4 linked regions of the Yarrowia lipolytica genome follow. The protein of the gene in region 4 interacts with the protein of the main gene of each other region in a pairwise test. Links are inferred from orthologs where the notes say so. Each region holds a gene or a part of one and is shown on either strand. Other genes may lie near its edges.

Region 1 (4,114 bases), on a different chromosome or scaffold from region 4:
AGAGCACCCTCCATTCCGCCAACAACAGCTGCAGACACGGTCTTGAGAGCCTCAAGGGCAGCCTCGGGCTTGATTTCGGCCTGCTTGAGCTGGAACTTGCCCAGACCAATCTCGGCAAGCTTCTCGGAGCTTAGGGGAAGCTGTTCGGCAGGCATGCCGATCACCTCCAGATCAACCGCGGTCTCGGAAGCAAAAGACTTGGGCTCCTCCTTGGACTCGGTCTTCTGCTCGGTGGCCGCAGTAGACTCCCAGCCAGCCTTGCTCTGCTGCTCAATGTTCTTGACCAGATCCTTGGTCTTGATGACGGGAGGGGCCGCCTCCTTCTTGGAAGCGTCCTTTCGCTTGAACCACGACCACAGAGAGTTGAGGCCGCCGGAGTTGTGTCGTACCTGCTGTCGGGTCACGTGGACAGGAACCACTCGGGCTGCTCGGAATCCGCTGGCTCGGCTGACTGCTAGCATCTTTAGTCGTGTAAATGTGTGAAAAAAGTTGTGGTATGTGTGAGAACCTCGCTGAGCACCACACACTCAAATTTCACATTAGGGTTTGAAATCAGGAAGGCGTGTGTTCGAGTTGGGGTTGGGGTATTTGGTGTGAGTTAATTAAGACAGCGGGCATACCAAGGAGTCCGTTGAATGGAGTGGAGAGATTGCGTGACGGATGGTAATATATCCCTTGAAGAGATGATATATTGACATTGAACGCGATCGGCAGAAAAATCAACGAGTTTGAGCAAGTGGCTATATGGAAGTAAGATGGGTTACAGTAGAGGTACGATACAGTAATTGCAATGTATATACTGTACTTGGTTAGTAATGAAAAGACCTTGATAATAGTGGAAGGATTACAGAATCAAACAAGTTGATACACGCCAATCATTGTATCTTGCAGCTTCTGTACTCACACAGTACATTCGAGCGACACTCGCGCTTTTCAAGCCTTGGTATACTTCTAAAAAAACAGAAGCTAACTAGCTCCAGTACTCTTGAGACATGCAAGGACAGGTTAATAGTATGTACTGCTTTCAGGTTAATAGTATGTACTGCTTTCCCAATCATTCCAGTAGCAACTCACCCAATCAATATATTACTATCGTATAAATCCAGCTTCTCCAGCAATATCCCGTTCAGCGAGCCGTTCACAGCGAGCTGAGACAGCCTCAGTACAGCTTCTCAGCCCGGGCGTGGCTGTCGTCGATGGCATCCATCTTCCAAATGATTGACTCATCTGCGTCCCCCTGTTTAAAAGAGCATCCACCACAGCATAAACAGACCAATGAGACCCACTCCAATGAAGGGAATGTACTGTCGGATCATGGCCTCCCAATTGATCCGCTGGGCAGCCCGTCGGTACTTTTTGCTCTCGGTCCGCAGGTTGCTGCTAAGATCGCTCATGTGATCCAGCGAGTGGCCTCGGTGCAGCAGATCCTCAATGTTCTTGGTCATGACTCGAGTCACGTCCTGCAGCTCCGTGTTGAGCTTGTCGAGGTTGTGGGTTGCTCGAGTGTCCTGGTACACCCGCTTGGTCTTCTGCATGAACGTGTCGAACTCCACAAACTTGTAGGGTCGCACCCCCTCCTTGAGAGCCTCCTGGCCATGGGACTTTTGGAACTCCCGATCCAGCTCGTCTAGGTAGCTGAAGGCGAGTTTGCGGGGGTACGAAGACTCGGAGATGCAGTAGTAAACGATTCCGTCCTTCATCAGATAGTGGATCACGTAGTTGCCACTTTCAATCGAGGCTCGGTCGGCCGAGTTGGCAGACAGCTTCTGGGTCACGAGCTTGCACTGCTTCTTCTGCTCGCTGAGGTTCTCCTGGCCGTCATCCACGCTGGCCGACAGAGGCAGGCCATCCGAGGCCCGCATAATCAGAGTAGAGAGCACCATTTTGTGTGTATAGTGATGTGGTTGAGTCTAGCGTGTACTGCTGCTGATGCGTACGTGTTAGGATTTAGGTTGGTGGGGCAAACCGGTGGTGGGATAATACGTGTATCTGGGCAGCTAGCAAGGAAACAATTGTCGATATGGAAATTCTCGCGCGGTTTTGGTGAGTCGAATGGTGTTGTTTGTTTTTCGATCGCAGCAATATTCGCGACTGTTGCGTTTTTAGCTCGTCACCTGTCATATTGGCCTATTGACCTCGGAGAGAGAGAGAGTGTGTGTGAGTGAGTTTCTGTTGGATTGAAGGGCTTATAGAGTGTCTAGATGACCATATCAATTCTCCTATATGTCGTAAATCCACTTTCAACAGGTTTTTTCGACATCATCTCTTTAGTTTCCAGTAGCTTGTATAGAGTTGAGTCACAGTATGAATGTGAATTCCTCTGAGGAATGTTAGCTCTTTGAGCAACGTCAAAAGTCGATTCAGAATAAAAACTGCTGGAAAAGAGGAGAAAATATATGCAAAGAGCCAAGCCACCCGGCTACACGTCTTTGAAACAAAAAAATATCATATATACATAGATGGTGTGTTGTTGCAACACATCCTGAACACACATCTCACTCACTGACAGTCATTAAGGCTGTTAGTTGGGAACGCTCAAATCAACATTGAACACCATGAGACCCTCATCAGCGGCTGAGAGAGCTCCCCGCAGAAAAATCTTCTGCTGAAGAGGATCCATAACCGCGCACATGGACGAGCCAGCGTACAGGACGTCTCCCTGCTCGAATCCAACTCTGTTGGCAGTCACCATGGTCACCGGGAAGTCCACGTCCGTGTTCTGGTTCCACACGGGCTGCAGACGCTCGATCCAGTACTGCAGGGTGTCCACCAAAGGCAGTTTGTTGTCGACATCGGCAGTGTAGTCGTGGAAAGTGGCCAGATCCTCGTTCTTGTACTTGGGGATCTCCTTGGGCTCGGTGATGAGTCCATCAAAGGTGGACTTGCCGTGCAGCATGGTGCACTTATGCACAATGGCGTTTCGGAGCTCGCTGTGGGTCTTCTCCTGCTCCTCAGTCATAGGGATCTTGTCGGAGGACTTGACAGGCACTAGGGAGGGAGACTTGGAGTGAGTCCAGGCCATTGGGAGCAGCACCAGAGGCACCTTGTTCTTCTTGACTGAATTGCCAAACTCGTACTCCGAAGGAGCAGACTCAAACTTGTAGGGGTTGATATCCATGCAAATTCCCACCTGGAACTTGAGAGGGATGTCCTGAGACAGAGAAGGGAAGGGTCCGTATGTCTGGAAGCCGTCGGGAGACTCGCTCATGCCCATTGCCTCGTCGGCGGTGTACAGGAACGACTTTCGGTAGGTGAAGAGGATATCACCCTTGGGAGACACCATGGACACAGAGTTGTAGGTCGCATCGTCTTGAGGGCTAAACTCGGGGTATCCGACCAGCACGTGGCCGTCGATCTTCTTGGCGCACTCTCTAGCCCATTCGATCGACTTGGACGACTCCGTTTCTTCTCGGAATGGCTTGAGGTTCTCGGGGCTCTCGAAGTTGTAACCTGTGAATGACATTTCGGGGAGCATCAAGATATCAATCTTGGGGGTCTTATCGTCCTTCTTGGCAGTGGCGTAGTACCGGTCGATGAGCTCGTTGGCCACTCCCATGTTCTTGTCGACTTCCCCGATCTCGGGCTTGAGCTGCAAACAGCCGATCTGGAGATTGAGAGGCGTGGTGGTTCGCGCGGTGGTGGCCATGGTGCGGGGTTGTGTCAGATGACGCAGAGGGGGGCTCAATCTACCGAAAGCACGCTTCATGGTGTGGTGGTGCTGAAGCCTTCGGAAGGTGCTAGGAGATGAAGAGATGTCAAGAGTTAGATGGGGATAGAGTTGCGAGAGACGACGGACTGTGTGGGGGTGATTAACAGAGTAATGACTTGTATGGGGGTATCAATGTCATGGTGGATCTCTGAGAATTCTAATGGTGTAATTTTTATTCGTATCGGTGGAATATTGAGCGAGATGAATGGTGTGATGTGTTTCGGAGGTTCTGCACTATTTACTCTGCATGCAGATGGCGTGGGGTGAGAAAGAGGGATGAGGACCGACCAGCTTAGAGGAACTTTTTTTTCATCAGATTTTTGCACAATGTTTATAGGATTCTTTGCAATTGATTTCCGGAGTTTCGGTCCTCTGGAAGCACAATTGGTGTCGTAGGGCCATCTA
Region 2 (4,121 bases), on a different chromosome or scaffold from region 4:
GTGCCCCAAGCTCCAATGCGAGTGTTCTTTCATAAACCCTCCCCCCAGAGTGGATATCTTCGGGAGGAGAAGAACCACTAAACTGATGTGCGTGGTACCCTTACTTAGTTCAATCGTAAATCGTTATCTGTTAAGCTATTGACGTTACAACGCCCTTACAGAGCAATGAGCAGAACAAGCAGAATGATTAGGGCCACAATCAACAGAGTGATGCAGCATGAACCCAGAGTCTCTTGGTTCTTTCGCACCACCCAATCCACTTTCTTAAGACCACGCTGTAACCGAGAGCCAGCCGAGTCGGCGTGACGATCTAGGTCATCAATGAGATACGACTGGTCCTCCAGCTCCCGCGACATGACGTTGGCCTGTTCCCGCAACGAGTTCACCGTGTTGTAGACGCCATCAAGAGCGTTGTCCTGCTCCTCGATCTGGCTTGCATACATCTGCTGGGTGAGCCCTGCAGTTCGGGCCTCCGTGTCGTCTGGCTCATCGGAGTAGATGCCATGTGGCGTGCCTGTGTTCCGAATCTTGCTCACCTCCTTCTGTACCTGACCCAGCTGCGACATGAGTTGAGCAACCTGCTTGCTACGGTCCTGGATATCTTCGCTGCTGAGACCAAACTGCTGTGGTCGGCCCTGGGCGGCCTCGACGGACTGTGAAAGGTCGGATATCGTCTCTGCCAGCTCCTCTGTGATGTTTGTGAGATCCTGAAGGGTATTGTGGTTTGAAGGGTCCGACCGGAACTGCTCCAGCAGGTCTCGCGTCTGCGTCAGCTGGTTTTGCGCATCCGCGCAGACTTGTACAAAAGGATCCATTGTGTTTGTGCGAGAAAAGTTGTTGTGGAGTATGATACTGGTGCTACCTCATGCCACGGCTGCAATAATGGGAATATCCGCAGCCAACCTTAATTTGTTGGGGGAGACTGAGACCTTCACATGTAGAGATTATGTACAAGTACGAGTACGAGTACAAGTATGGGCTAATGGTAGAGACAGAGATGATCTGGTGTACTTACTCAATGCACCTTCACCTCCTTATAGATCAAATTGAAGCTGCAACACCATTTTAGTCCATTATATAATCACGTTCCACGTCACTCGCTCCGTCTCCGAAAAGTAATTGGGGAGTCCAGCGCTTAGATGCCGCCCGAAAACGCGTGTGTAAGATGTACTTAGCAATGGGAAATATCAACATCTCAAAAGTCTTAAATTAGTTAGGACAGTTCCTTTCGTTGCTGGGCAGCAAAGTCACGGAGACACTGGTAGACAAGAGTATGGTCTTCAACCTGAGGGAGACCACTGACAGTGACAACAGCGACGGGGCCCTCGATTCCGTTGACGCGAATGGGGAATCCTCCTCCGTGAGCAGCATACTCAGTGTCACTGACTCCGTAGGCCTCCTGCAGAGTTCGGCCCTTCTGTCTCATGTTGCATCCCAGAAAGAAACTGCTTCGACCGAATCGAATAACAGCGTTTCGCTTTCGGGACACCCAGTGCTGGTTATCAATGTTGGTTCCCAGTCCGGAAGCGGCCCGGAACCAGGTGAGACCGGTGACGGTGGTAATATCGATCAGAATGCACTTGCCTGCCTTCTTGGCGCGTTCTCGGATCTGGGAGCCCAGCTCGAACGCGTAGTCGGCGTTGAAGCCCATGAGAATGCATTCGCCTTCCTGCTCGTCAATTTTTTCCAGCGGAAGATCAAAGGGGAGTGGTGTGGCCATTTAGGGGAGTGAAGTGAAGGGGAGTGGAGAAGGTGCTTTCGGATTAATTAGTTCGAGCCGAATAACGTGTGGGGGATAGAGTTTGGGATTAAGGTTCGTTATTAAGACAGTGCGCTGACATCGCCAGAATCAAAAAGACGACTCCACAATCCCTTCCCGCATCGAATACAGACAAGAAAATGGCTGATACACCCATGACTGACGCCTTTCCTGCAGCTGCGGCTCCGGAGACTGCTGTGGCCAAGACAGAGCCTGGTCCCGAGCCTGCCATCCCTGCTGCTTCCGTGTCTGAAATATCATCTACACACACTCCCTCAGCGGTGGCTACCCCACCAACTTCCACATCCACACCCGCGGCGGAGCCAATCAAGCAGGAGACGGCTTCCACTGCCTCGCTCCCAAACCCTGCCGAAAACTACGGCGCTCCTACGCGACTGTGGCTCAATAAGGAGGTGAGTCCCGCCCTGCTGGCTGGCATGCGACAGATTGCCAAGGACAAGCCTGAGGACCCCGTCCGGGCTCTGGGGGAGTTCCTCATCAACTACAAGAAGTGATTGCATTGCATAGGAGGGTATCGAGACAGTGCACCATCGCGTGTAAGGTGCATTGGCCATGGATTGGTAGAATGAAGGGCGCGAATGGTAACTACGAGGCTTGTTTCTGCCATCATGTAAATTATAATGATATTGGTATTTGTTTTGTTTGAAGAGTATAGATTGGCAAATGTCAGTGATCTGAGAAAGACACATTAGTAAGAGTACTACTTGTAGTGCTTGTACGATTTGTACTTGTAAGCTGGTTATGCTGGTTATATGGGATGATGATACGACAAACCGCTAATGTCATCACGTGACTTCAAACTGACCTGATGTATTTGTACTTGTATTATACAAATATCCTCCAATAGAGGTATATTTAACGTATTATTCCCTCGTTCTTCCTTGAAAGTCTCCATTTTTTATTTTTATTTTATTTTTATTTTTATTTTTATATACCTCGCGGCCTTGATCATCATATCTGCTTATATAAGCAAACAGCGAGTTGTAAGAAAAAAAGTATTAAAAGAAGACCCAGACCCCAAAATCCGGGCCACAAACCAGCCCCGCCATCACCAACCCACTTGCTACAAGTGCTGGTACTCGAGCTGTCCCAGCAACCTCCAGCACAGGGATTCTGGCCCAACTCTGTTGTCCCATTTAAACTAAAATTGTGCATATGGCAAGCTGAGATTAATCGTACTATTCTATCGCTATCATCACCACCACCATGGCGACCGACAACACATTACGGCCCTATTACAACGCCGATACGTTTGGAACAGGCACGCTGTACACCAAGCGACAGTTCCCCAACTTCTCCGACGCACCTGGCGGAGCCACTACCTCTGGGTCCTACACACATTTTGAAGGTGGCAACAGCAGCCGACTGACCCGCAATGTGGGCAACCACAACTTCGGCGATCTGTTTGATGGCATTGAGATTGACTACGACATTACCGGAACGTCCGAGTCGGTTCGAAATGCCATGCATTCGCTGTTCCAGCTCTACGGCAAGACCTTTCTGAGTCAGCCCTGGGAGGTCAGCAAGCTACTGCTGCAGGTAGGAGACTGGAGTCATTTGCAACGAGTGGAGAGCGCGGCCGAGGTCGAGGACCACATTATTGAAGTGGCTCTTGAGGAGGAAGAGGAGCGAGAGGAGGACGAAGAGATTGACTATTTCGAAAGCAACCATAGAGAAACGCTGGGAGACTTGAGTCCTCGAACCCACAGCCGAAATCATAGTCACGGAGGCGACTCCCCTATTGTACTGGATTCAGACCCTCTACCTGACCAGAAGAAGCGACTCAAGAAGTTCCTCAAGAACTACCATAGCCAGCTACAGGCCCGAACTACACGCAACTGGGACATTCTGCTGGCTCTCAACGAGGTTGACGGAGTTCGGGGACCATGGAGAGCTCTCAACGCCTCCTTCCTGCTTGGAGCTCTTACAATGACTCTGGAGGCATGGTTTTCTGGATTCTTCAGCTCCATTTCTAACTCTCCGGACCCTCTGTTTCTGGAAGAGGTCGCTCACTCCCCTACTCCCATCACCTCTATCGTTGTAGCCGTCAGCGCTTCAGTGATCACCTCTCTCCTTGTGGCTCCTCTCGATCTCATCCGAACACGTCTGATTGTGTCTACACTCTCCACCAAGCCCCGTTCCGTGCGACAGTCGCTCGTGGAGCTCAAGTCGCTTCTGTGCCCTCCCGAGCTGCTGGTGCCCACTTTCCTCGGCTCTTTCTGTACATCTATTGTGCGACACACTCTACCTCTTTGGAAAATCACCAAGCTGGGCATTGACTCGTACCACTTCCCCGTGCTTGACAGACTGTTCAACCTGGCCAGCGCGTACGTGACCATGA
Region 3 (4,044 bases), on a different chromosome or scaffold from region 4:
TAACGGTGAATGGCCAAATGCTGGGATTGTTGGCTATTGAAGGGTTAAACGCAAGGGATACAGTCGAAAGCTTTGGTGTTTCAACGAAATGTGTCACATGACAAACTTGCTGTTCTTTTTGAACCAGTTTGCGCAGTTTTCCATCTCATGGCGGATTATTCAGCAATTTCCGCTACATGACAACCTCACCCTACCATAACTCCTAGCAGGGATAGTGTAGAGATGAAAGCCTAGCAGAAGAATCCCGTGAATATCGTGTATAGCATCGCTGCTATGTCCTTGTAGACCTTAGGCCAGACCTTTACTGCCATTGCTACAGTAAGTGCAGTATGTACAGTACATACAATACATCCGGTTCAACTACTCTTGTCCTGATGACGTCCCATCTCCACAAGGCCAGTAAACACTGTTGAGTCCCTGTTGAAGGACCTCTTTTCTTAATCATCTTGTCAATAATCCCACAAATTGTCGTTGGATTCAACAAGACCAAAGTTCAACCTGAGTACTGCTCATCTATACATATTCTCGGATCCTGAAGTCTTTCCTAGTTAGTGCCGGCGACTGTCACCCTTCTATCATACGGCATCACTCTCATCGCCATCTACTGGTATTCTATACTGATCCAGCTGTTGAAAAGTTCCTGGCTCAGATAATAGCTAGCTTCAGTCATGACTCGGACCAAGATACCTCAACATCCGCCATTTGATGGTTGACTGTCTGGGGATTTGGTTCTTCTGGATCAGGGGCGATGAACGACAGTCTGGTCATCATCAGATGCCTCCACCACAGCCTAGGATTCCATATCGTCAACCTGAACGGAGACTCCAAGTGTCTGACTTCCGCTTTTTCTTCTCTCGAAGACAATGTTTCATTCCATGACCTCAGTGTCATCTCTACATCGACCTACTGGAGCCGAATGTTGCGTGCGTGCTTTCCATTGCTCCGGCACTGCCTCGTAGACTTGCACGTTCACCTCTTCAAGTCCCTTCCACTCAACGATGGCTACAAGTAGCTGGTCTATCTATAACTCATATATTACCATCACGTGAGTGGGCTGTAGCGTTCTGTACATATTTTAGCACGGAGCATTGTGATCATCAGTGCTTTACGTGAGCGTAACATGTGACCCACTTTCTGTGAAAAAAATGATTTGTCACACTCACGGTCCATCTCACCGTTTTTTCTGGCTCAACACGGCGCCCAGAACAGCAGCTCCCACCGCAATGACTCCTCCCACAATAGCAATTCCAATCATGCCCTCCTTGGCCAGCTTGTCCTCGATGATCTGACGCAGCTTGGCGCTCTGGGGGTCATCGGGCTCGATCTGCAGCAACAGGTCGCAGTATTTCCGAGCATCTGTGTATTCGCCAAGCTTGTAGGAGCCGATGGCAAGGTAGTAGAGGCACTCTCGACGTCGAGAGGGCGTGTCCTTGTACACCTGGGCCAGGATCTGCACTCCCAGCTGCTGGTCCTCGACCTTTCGAGACTTGATCAGACCCCAGGCATAGTTGAAGCGGGTCTGCACCGAGACAAAGTCGCCCTCGTTGTTGTACTGTTGAGAAAGAACGTAGAGCTCTTCGTCCGAGAGCGGAGACTCGATATCGACGAGGTCTGTGTTAGAACGGAAGTGGCTGCAGTCCGGGGAGTTGGGGGTAGGTGTCATGTGACAGGGTTGTTGGAGGTAGATCCAACGGAGTAGAGCAAGCAGGTAAGGAGTTCTAAAAACTGGTATCAATGAGATGTAGAAAGTGCAGTAACGTATCGACGGTCTCAGTTGCGTCTTTGGCCATGGTTTGTAGAGGACCACTGTAGGCAGCGCCGATTCAACCAGCACCAATGTAAAGTCAACACTGATTGAATCAACACCGAATACTATATGAACCTCCGCCACGCCGCCTCCACTGCCTCAGAGAATATCCTTGAAAACAACTAAATTGACCACTCAAAATTTGGAACCAACACGTCATAGACAAGTCCAACCAACCGCTCCACTCCATCACTTTCACCCACCAATCGGCGCAAACATGGGTATCTCAGGACTCATCTCAGCTGTCGTTTCAGCTGTCGTCTCAGTTGTCGTTCCAAATCGCTTGTCACCCTAACCCCTCAAACACCCTCCCCTCGCCTCAATTCCCTAACCCGGCTCTCCATCAATACTCACTGGGCAAATAGTCCTCCTTCTTCATGGTTGTGTATGGCGGATAGTACATGTGTGCGGGATCGAATATGTAGGGTTGCTGCAGTGGCGAGTCACGTGAGCGAACTTTAACGAAAATTAAACGGAGTCACAAAACCGGCACACAAAGAGCCTTCAGAATGTTTGATAACTCGGTCGCAGGTCGATATCACTAGACTAGGGACCAGGCATTATCCGCCCCCGTGGCGCTAACGAGCTTAGTCATCACGGAGTTAGCATAAAACCTTATTTCGATATGTGCAACCTTATCGTTGTTGGCCAATGAGAGTGCTGTTTTTTAAAAACCGCAATACCGCTTCCCGGCAGAGTGACCAGAGAGCACGTGTGTTGAGCGTTCTGATGAACACAAAAACCGCGTTCAAACGGCGGTATTTCCCTCCCCACTTCCTACATCTCAGGGTTAGGGTAGGGTTAGGGCGGATGCAGAACCTGTACTATATCAAAAGTCTGGGATAGGGTTTGTTCTTGTGGGAGGTCCTGACTAAGCGCAAATTTCACACACATCACCAAACACACATACAGCAAAAATGGTGGTTCATATTATGGGAAAGCGGTTCCAGAACACCTGGAAGGTTTCTGTGAGTATTTCACGGGTGACATGGAGCGGGTGATGACTTGTTCGGAAAAGATGGAGCCACAAATGACCGAGAACGCGATGGATCAAACTGTGAGATTTTGTCATGTGGACATGTTGAGCTGATAAGAGCTTAGGCGGATGGGAGAAGGACGGGAGAGTGACTAATGATGGGGTTTCGGCGGCGACAAGTGATTTACCGACTTTCAGCTTTCGCAAGTAGGTGAGAGAGAAGAACTGGTGTGATGATATGAACGTCACACATCCGACATGTACGTGACACGGGCTTGTGCAAACGGCAGTATTGACAATTGAGGACGGTTTACAAGGTGTTCCGAGACTCAAACTGTCGTTTAGTCTTGTTTTCGAGACTTTTGGCCCAAAAGAGAGTGATACCATCAACCAACAAATAACGTGTACCCAGGATACGTACATGGACGAAAAAGAGTGGATAGACGGCCTATCTACATCTAAGATCTGGTATTCAGCGCAGGTTAAGACCGATGAACACTGATTTTTCCAACCAAAAGCATCAGATCTTACACCTTACATGTCGACACCCACCATCCTTCCCGAGTGGCGGATTCCACCTGCTTTCTTCAGTTTTGCTCTATTCTCCCCTGCCTCGTGACATACTAACTCAGTACGGACTGTCTCAGCAAGTGTTCGGCGTGGGTCCGTTCCAGGCCAAGCGGCTATGTGCCAAGATTGGCCTGTATCCTGGCATGCGAATGGGCGAGCTCACCCAGGGCGACATCATGGCAATTGTCAAGGAGCTGTCAACCAATGTGACCATCGAGTCCGACCTGGCCAAGAAGATCAACGCCGACATTGAGCGAAAGCGAAAGACCGGCTCGTACGTCGGTCGACGACACGTCATGGGTATGCCCGTCAAGGGCCAGAAGACTCGAACCAACGGAAAGAACGCCCGACGGTTCAACCGAGTGCCCCGACGACACTTTGGCTCCGTTTCCGAAGCTCTCGGCTCACTGGCCAACGAGTACAAGGCTGCCCCTGGAGCCGAGGCCAAGGGCATCATGGGATTCCTATCCAAGTTTTGGTAATGTATATAGTCTGACCGAGGTTAAAAAATGAAATGTTTGAACGCAAGCGACAAAGTTCCACACTGGTGGCACCGTCAGATAGTCGTCTACGAGGCGATGTCAAGTTACAGGTTTGTCGTATGTCAATCCAACAAAAGTGTAAACTACTGTAGACTCCCAACTAAAATGTTAACTAGACTCAAGTACTAAATCTCCAAATGTCAAGTAAT
Region 4 (4,334 bases):
TGAAGCGCCCTACAACGGCATGGCGCTATACGGAGCAGATGGCGCTTACTCGGGGATGGGTCTTCCACTATGGCCCATGGTCCACCCGTCTAGAAAGGTGGACATGTTTTTCTGTCTCGATGCTGACGGAGCGCCTCCCAATAACACTCCCGATGGCAAAACGCTTACAAATCTAGCCAACAAAGTCTCCGAGGAGATGGGTGAAGGAGTGTTTCCGCTAGTTCCTTCCCCACATGAGTACCAGGCCAAGTACCTTGAAAAACCGCTGTGGATGGGCTGCGACGTGACAAAGATGAGGAAGATTCCAGAATCAAATAGATACGTGCCACTTTTTGTCGAAATCCCCAATCTTGAGGTCTCCTACAACTCCCTAGTCAAGACCATGAAACTAGACTACTCCAAGGAGGATATCGATGGAATTGTCCAAACCGGATTCGATATTGCTACCATGAGCAATTCCACTGAATGGGCCCAGTGTATCGGCTGTTCCGTAGTTCTGAGAGAGTTCCAGAGACAGAACAAAACGGTGCCGGAGGTGTGTCGAAAGTGTATGGATGAGTATTGCTATTCGTGAGGATGGAAGGAAGCTGTTGGGGGTAGTATGTACAATATATAAAAACTGACTACTCAACGCCTCTTCACCATCACCACCATCACCACCATCACCACCATCACCACCATCGCTTGTTCACCATCTCATCGTTCAGCTACGTGACGTTCGGGGTTGACTAGTAAAGACGAATGCAACCGTACTCATCCCGAATGCATTCTCCAGCCCGCACCGATCGCTCACATCTCTCTACAGTATGATTCGTATGATCGACTCAGAATGACACTCCAGGAGGACGGTCCAACTTGATCTTCCCCTCATGGCTCCAATCAAAACACAAATCTGTTTAATACATCAATCTTTCTAAGACACAGCACCACATGAGAAGCGCTCCACCGCACAGTCCCCTTACTGTCCTCCAGCACCTCCAGCACCTCCAGCGCCGCCAAACTTGCTGGCCATCTCTCGCAAAGCAGGGTCGTTCATCATCTCACTCATGGAGGGCATGTTGCCGCCCTGCATTCGCTGAGCCATGTTAGCCACAGCAGGGTTGCTCATCAGGTTGTTGAGCGCATTGGGGTCGGACATGAACTTCTGGGCCATCTGGGCCACGGCGGGGTTGTTCATGAGACCAGCCAGATCGGGCATTCCGCCTCCAGCACCACCGCCAAACATGGAACCGAGAGCTCCGAGATCGGGGAAACCAGCGGGAGCTCCTCCAGCTCCTCCAGCGGCTCCACCCTCAGCGGGGGCGTCCCGGGTGGCGACGGCCTCCTCATCGACTCGCTTCTTGGCGGTCTCGTAGCCCCGCTTCATGGCGTCGGAGACATTGTCGCCCTCGACCTTCATGCCCATCTCGTAGGCCTCCAGCGCGCCCTGGGCGTCACCGGAGGCGTACTTTGCCAGTCCCAGACGCGAGTAGGCCTTGGAGTAGTTGGGATCAACTCGAATGGCGGCGTCAGCGTCGGCAATGGCATTATCGTGGAGCTGGAGCTGGGAGTAGGCGGCGGCTCGGTTGGAGTAGTAGACGGCGTTGTTCGCGTCGATGTCGATGGCCTGGGTGTACAGATCGATGGACTCTTCGAAGTTTCGTTGCGACAGCGCCTTGTTGCCCTCCAGCTTGAGCTTGTCGGCCTGGGTCTTCTGCTCCTCAGTCAGAACCGCAGTGGCGGCAGCCATCTTGGCAGCGGCAGCCTCGAGTGCAGGGGAGGACTTGTCGGCACCGGCGGTGGAAGCCGAGTTGGATCGGTTCTTGAAGATGTCCAAAAGAGTCTGCTTGCCCAGAACCGAGTCCTTGGAAACACCCTCAATCTTGAACACGTCCTCCAGACAGTCAATGGCGACCTGGACCGATTCGTGGTCGTCTTCGGGGATGGTGCCGTCGGAGACGGAGGTTTTGAGGAAATCGACGATTCCAACTGCGAGATCTTTCTTGTCGGACATTGTGTGGGTGGTGTGGTGGAACTCAAGAGAGACATATGCACTGTTAAGATGGTGTAGTTTAGATTCACAACGTGGCGAGTATGAATGGCAGAAACATGGAGGGCTATCGAGGGGGTTGTGGGGAGTGAAAAGACAAAGTGAGTGGCTACAACGGATATTTATGACACATTGAGTTGATTTCTGCCGTCGGATTTTTCAGAAATTGGCTATTTCTGCCGTTACAACACACCCCTCAGAATGCCCCCTCCATGACCCCTTACTTTAGTTGACACTTTACTTTGCCTTCACTTGGGGAAGGTTCTGGAACAAGTTGGGACTGACTTTGAATATGTTAGCGACCTTTGAGAGGGGGCAAATTGAATTGACATGTTAGATCGGTGGCGAACTGCCAAAGTGTACAAGCAAGGTGGAACTACCGGAATACATTCAGCTCCACATCCGCGGCCGGTCTTATAGTGATTCTTCTCCCTCCAAGTGTCTCGTTGTACTCGTCCGTGGGGCTCGGGCGTATACTCTTTTGGGAATACGCATTTATGCCACAGATGGAATACGGCAACTCTAAATTGGATATATCCCGCTGCCGTATTCGGAAAATTGCACGTGACTCTGCAGCAGTGTTCTGCAGGCAGACTTGACCTCAATCTACAAGTGCAAGACCAAGTATAGATCTCAGCAACATCTACACTTACCTAAACAACATGTGGCCCTTCAACAGCAACAAACCACAAGACCAGGACGGCCCCGTGGACTTTTCCGCTCCGGTCACGTCCGACGGCAAGATGTTGGACGACACAAAGCCTCGATTCGACCTGGAAGACATCCAGGCCAAGAAGGCGGCTCTGCTCAAGGAGCTCAAGGAGAAGGAGGCCGAGCTTGTGCGCCCGCCCCCTCCCAAGATCACCAAGCCCGTTCCCGAGGGCGAGGCCAAGGTGTCGAATGTGGTTTCTCAGATCGGCGTGAACGACTTTAAGACCGTGACCCAGATCCCCTGTTTCCGAGACGCTATGATCACGGGCTTCATCACCGGTGGCTCTGTTCTGGGAGTCATGCTGTCGATGCGACGGTCCACGCTCAGCGCTGCCAACTGGGCCATTGGCGGATTCACCATTGGAGCCGTGGCCAAGTGGGAAATGTGTCGATATAACCGAAAGCAGTCGTTTGAGAACGCTGCTCTGGCCCACCAGGTCTATGCCAAGCGAAAGGCTCTCGAGGAGGGCAAGGAGTGATCGTTGGTCGTTCTGAATTGTAAATAGTCTCTGTACATAATGCTAACAGTGTTTTCTGAGTGGAGAAAATCAGTAGAGGAAGTGGCCATCAAGTTTAGCATCCGGACTAGACATTATTTGGGCTCTTGTAGTATATCGAATCAGCAGATGTTATGTCTCAGAAGTTCATCTGAAGAGTTGCTGATTAGTTGACTGAAGAGGTGACTGAAGAGGTGACTGAAAAGTTGCTGAAAAGTTGCTGAAAAGTTGCTGAAAAGTTGCTAAAAAGTTGCTGAAAAGTTACTGAAAGTTGATTATCATTTTTCTCTCAGTGTTCTATTTGTATATGAGCGACTTCACAAGCAAATAGAACAACCACCACCATCCATTGTATAAACACCAACAAGCCTCAAATCAACGCCCTTGATTTTGCCGCCTCTTCCAGCTGTCTCGTACGTGCTCAACACTAGATCCGAAAAAAAAGTGCACATCAAAAGTGTTATCGCCAGTCATCGCCAAAAACTGCCCCGTCATTGCAATACTCCCGTGTTTCACCTCGTTTCTTGCTCGCATCTAAGACATTCCACATGGTTGCGGGTTGACACTTTATGCGAGCGATGTGCGCGTTTCCACCTCCTGTACCAGAGTCGAGGCTTCCGTTCCTAGATTGCCGTAGAGTTTGGGCTGACTGGCGCCAATGATCGGCTGGTGGTGCTAGCGTGATACGAAGGCGGAGAGCTACTCGCACCCGTACTTGTAGCGTCTCCTGGTGGTCCCACTGGGCTTCCGAAACCTGGCTGATGGAGTCGCTACGGTCTTGCAGCAAGCGTTGCAGGCCACACGCTGGAGCAATGTGCTGCGGTGGAAAAAAAACCCGTCAGACAGATGACGAGACCAGGACGAGCTGACGAATGGCAGGCCCATTTGCACCAAGGGGTGGCTCACGGCACGTGGTCCATTCATGACTTTCCAAGAGCAGCGTTTCCACCAAAGCCTAGATCGAGTGGGGAAACAGGTCTAGGTTACTCGTACCGTCGTATGAGCAGTACGTACTGTAGCTGCCCCCACAAAGCTAACCCCCAAATGTCGGAATATGCTTTTAGGACTTGTAGGAACACAAAACCGTGGGGCCAAGT

What was found.
Region 1: the proteins of YALI1_C13000g (region 4) and YALI1_D27762g interact in binary tests that used the Saccharomyces cerevisiae proteins (3 or more experiments, as listed by UniProt). The link is inferred for Yarrowia lipolytica from reciprocal best matches to the Saccharomyces cerevisiae genes SGT2 and SEC22.
Region 2: the proteins of YALI1_C13000g (region 4) and YALI1_B07852g interact in binary tests that used the Saccharomyces cerevisiae proteins (3 or more experiments, as listed by UniProt). The link is inferred for Yarrowia lipolytica from reciprocal best matches to the Saccharomyces cerevisiae genes SGT2 and YBR137W.
Region 3: the proteins of YALI1_C13000g (region 4) and YALI1_B08616g interact in binary tests that used the Saccharomyces cerevisiae proteins (3 or more experiments, as listed by UniProt). The link is inferred for Yarrowia lipolytica from reciprocal best matches to the Saccharomyces cerevisiae genes SGT2 and FIS1.

Annotation. Positions count from the first base shown.
Region 1 is NC_090773.1:2,774,266-2,778,379, forward strand, and holds YALI1_D27762g (uncharacterized protein), read right to left. Parts: upstream 1,884-4,114; coding exon 1,242-1,883; downstream 1-1,241. Other genes in the region: YALI1_D27748g (uncharacterized protein), read right to left, coding at 1-461; YALI1_D27765g (uncharacterized protein), read left to right, coding at 2,202-2,296, 2,344-2,506; YALI1_D27780g (uncharacterized protein), read right to left, coding at 2,522-3,706. UniProt on the Saccharomyces cerevisiae protein: Nonessential SNARE involved in targeting and fusion of ER-derived transport vesicles with the Golgi complex as well as Golgi-derived retrograde transport vesicles with the ER.
Region 2 is NC_090771.1:783,489-787,609, forward strand, and holds YALI1_B07852g (uncharacterized protein), read right to left. Parts: upstream 1,721-4,121; coding exon 1,214-1,720; downstream 1-1,213. Other genes in the region: YALI1_B07843g (uncharacterized protein), read right to left, coding at 156-815; YALI1_B07853g (uncharacterized protein), read left to right, coding at 1,900-2,274; YALI1_B07864g (uncharacterized protein), read left to right, coding at 2,987-4,121.
Region 3 is NC_090771.1:859,991-864,034, forward strand, and holds YALI1_B08616g (uncharacterized protein), read right to left. Parts: upstream 1,664-4,044; coding exon 1,172-1,663; downstream 1-1,171. Other genes in the region: YALI1_B08627g (mitochondrial 37S ribosomal protein uS13m), read left to right, coding at 2,725-2,775, 3,416-3,835. UniProt on the Saccharomyces cerevisiae protein: Has a role in mitochondrial fission. Has a role in outer membrane fission but not matrix separation. Required for targeting MDV1 to the mitochondria.
Region 4 is NC_090772.1:1,298,062-1,302,395, forward strand, and holds YALI1_C13000g (uncharacterized protein), read right to left. Parts: upstream 1,994-4,334; coding exon 959-1,993; downstream 1-958. Other genes in the region: YALI1_C13007g (uncharacterized protein), read left to right, coding at 2,692-3,219. UniProt on the Saccharomyces cerevisiae protein: Co-chaperone that binds to the molecular chaperone Hsp70 (SSA1 and SSA2). Regulates Hsp70 ATPase activity. Required for recovery from heat shock.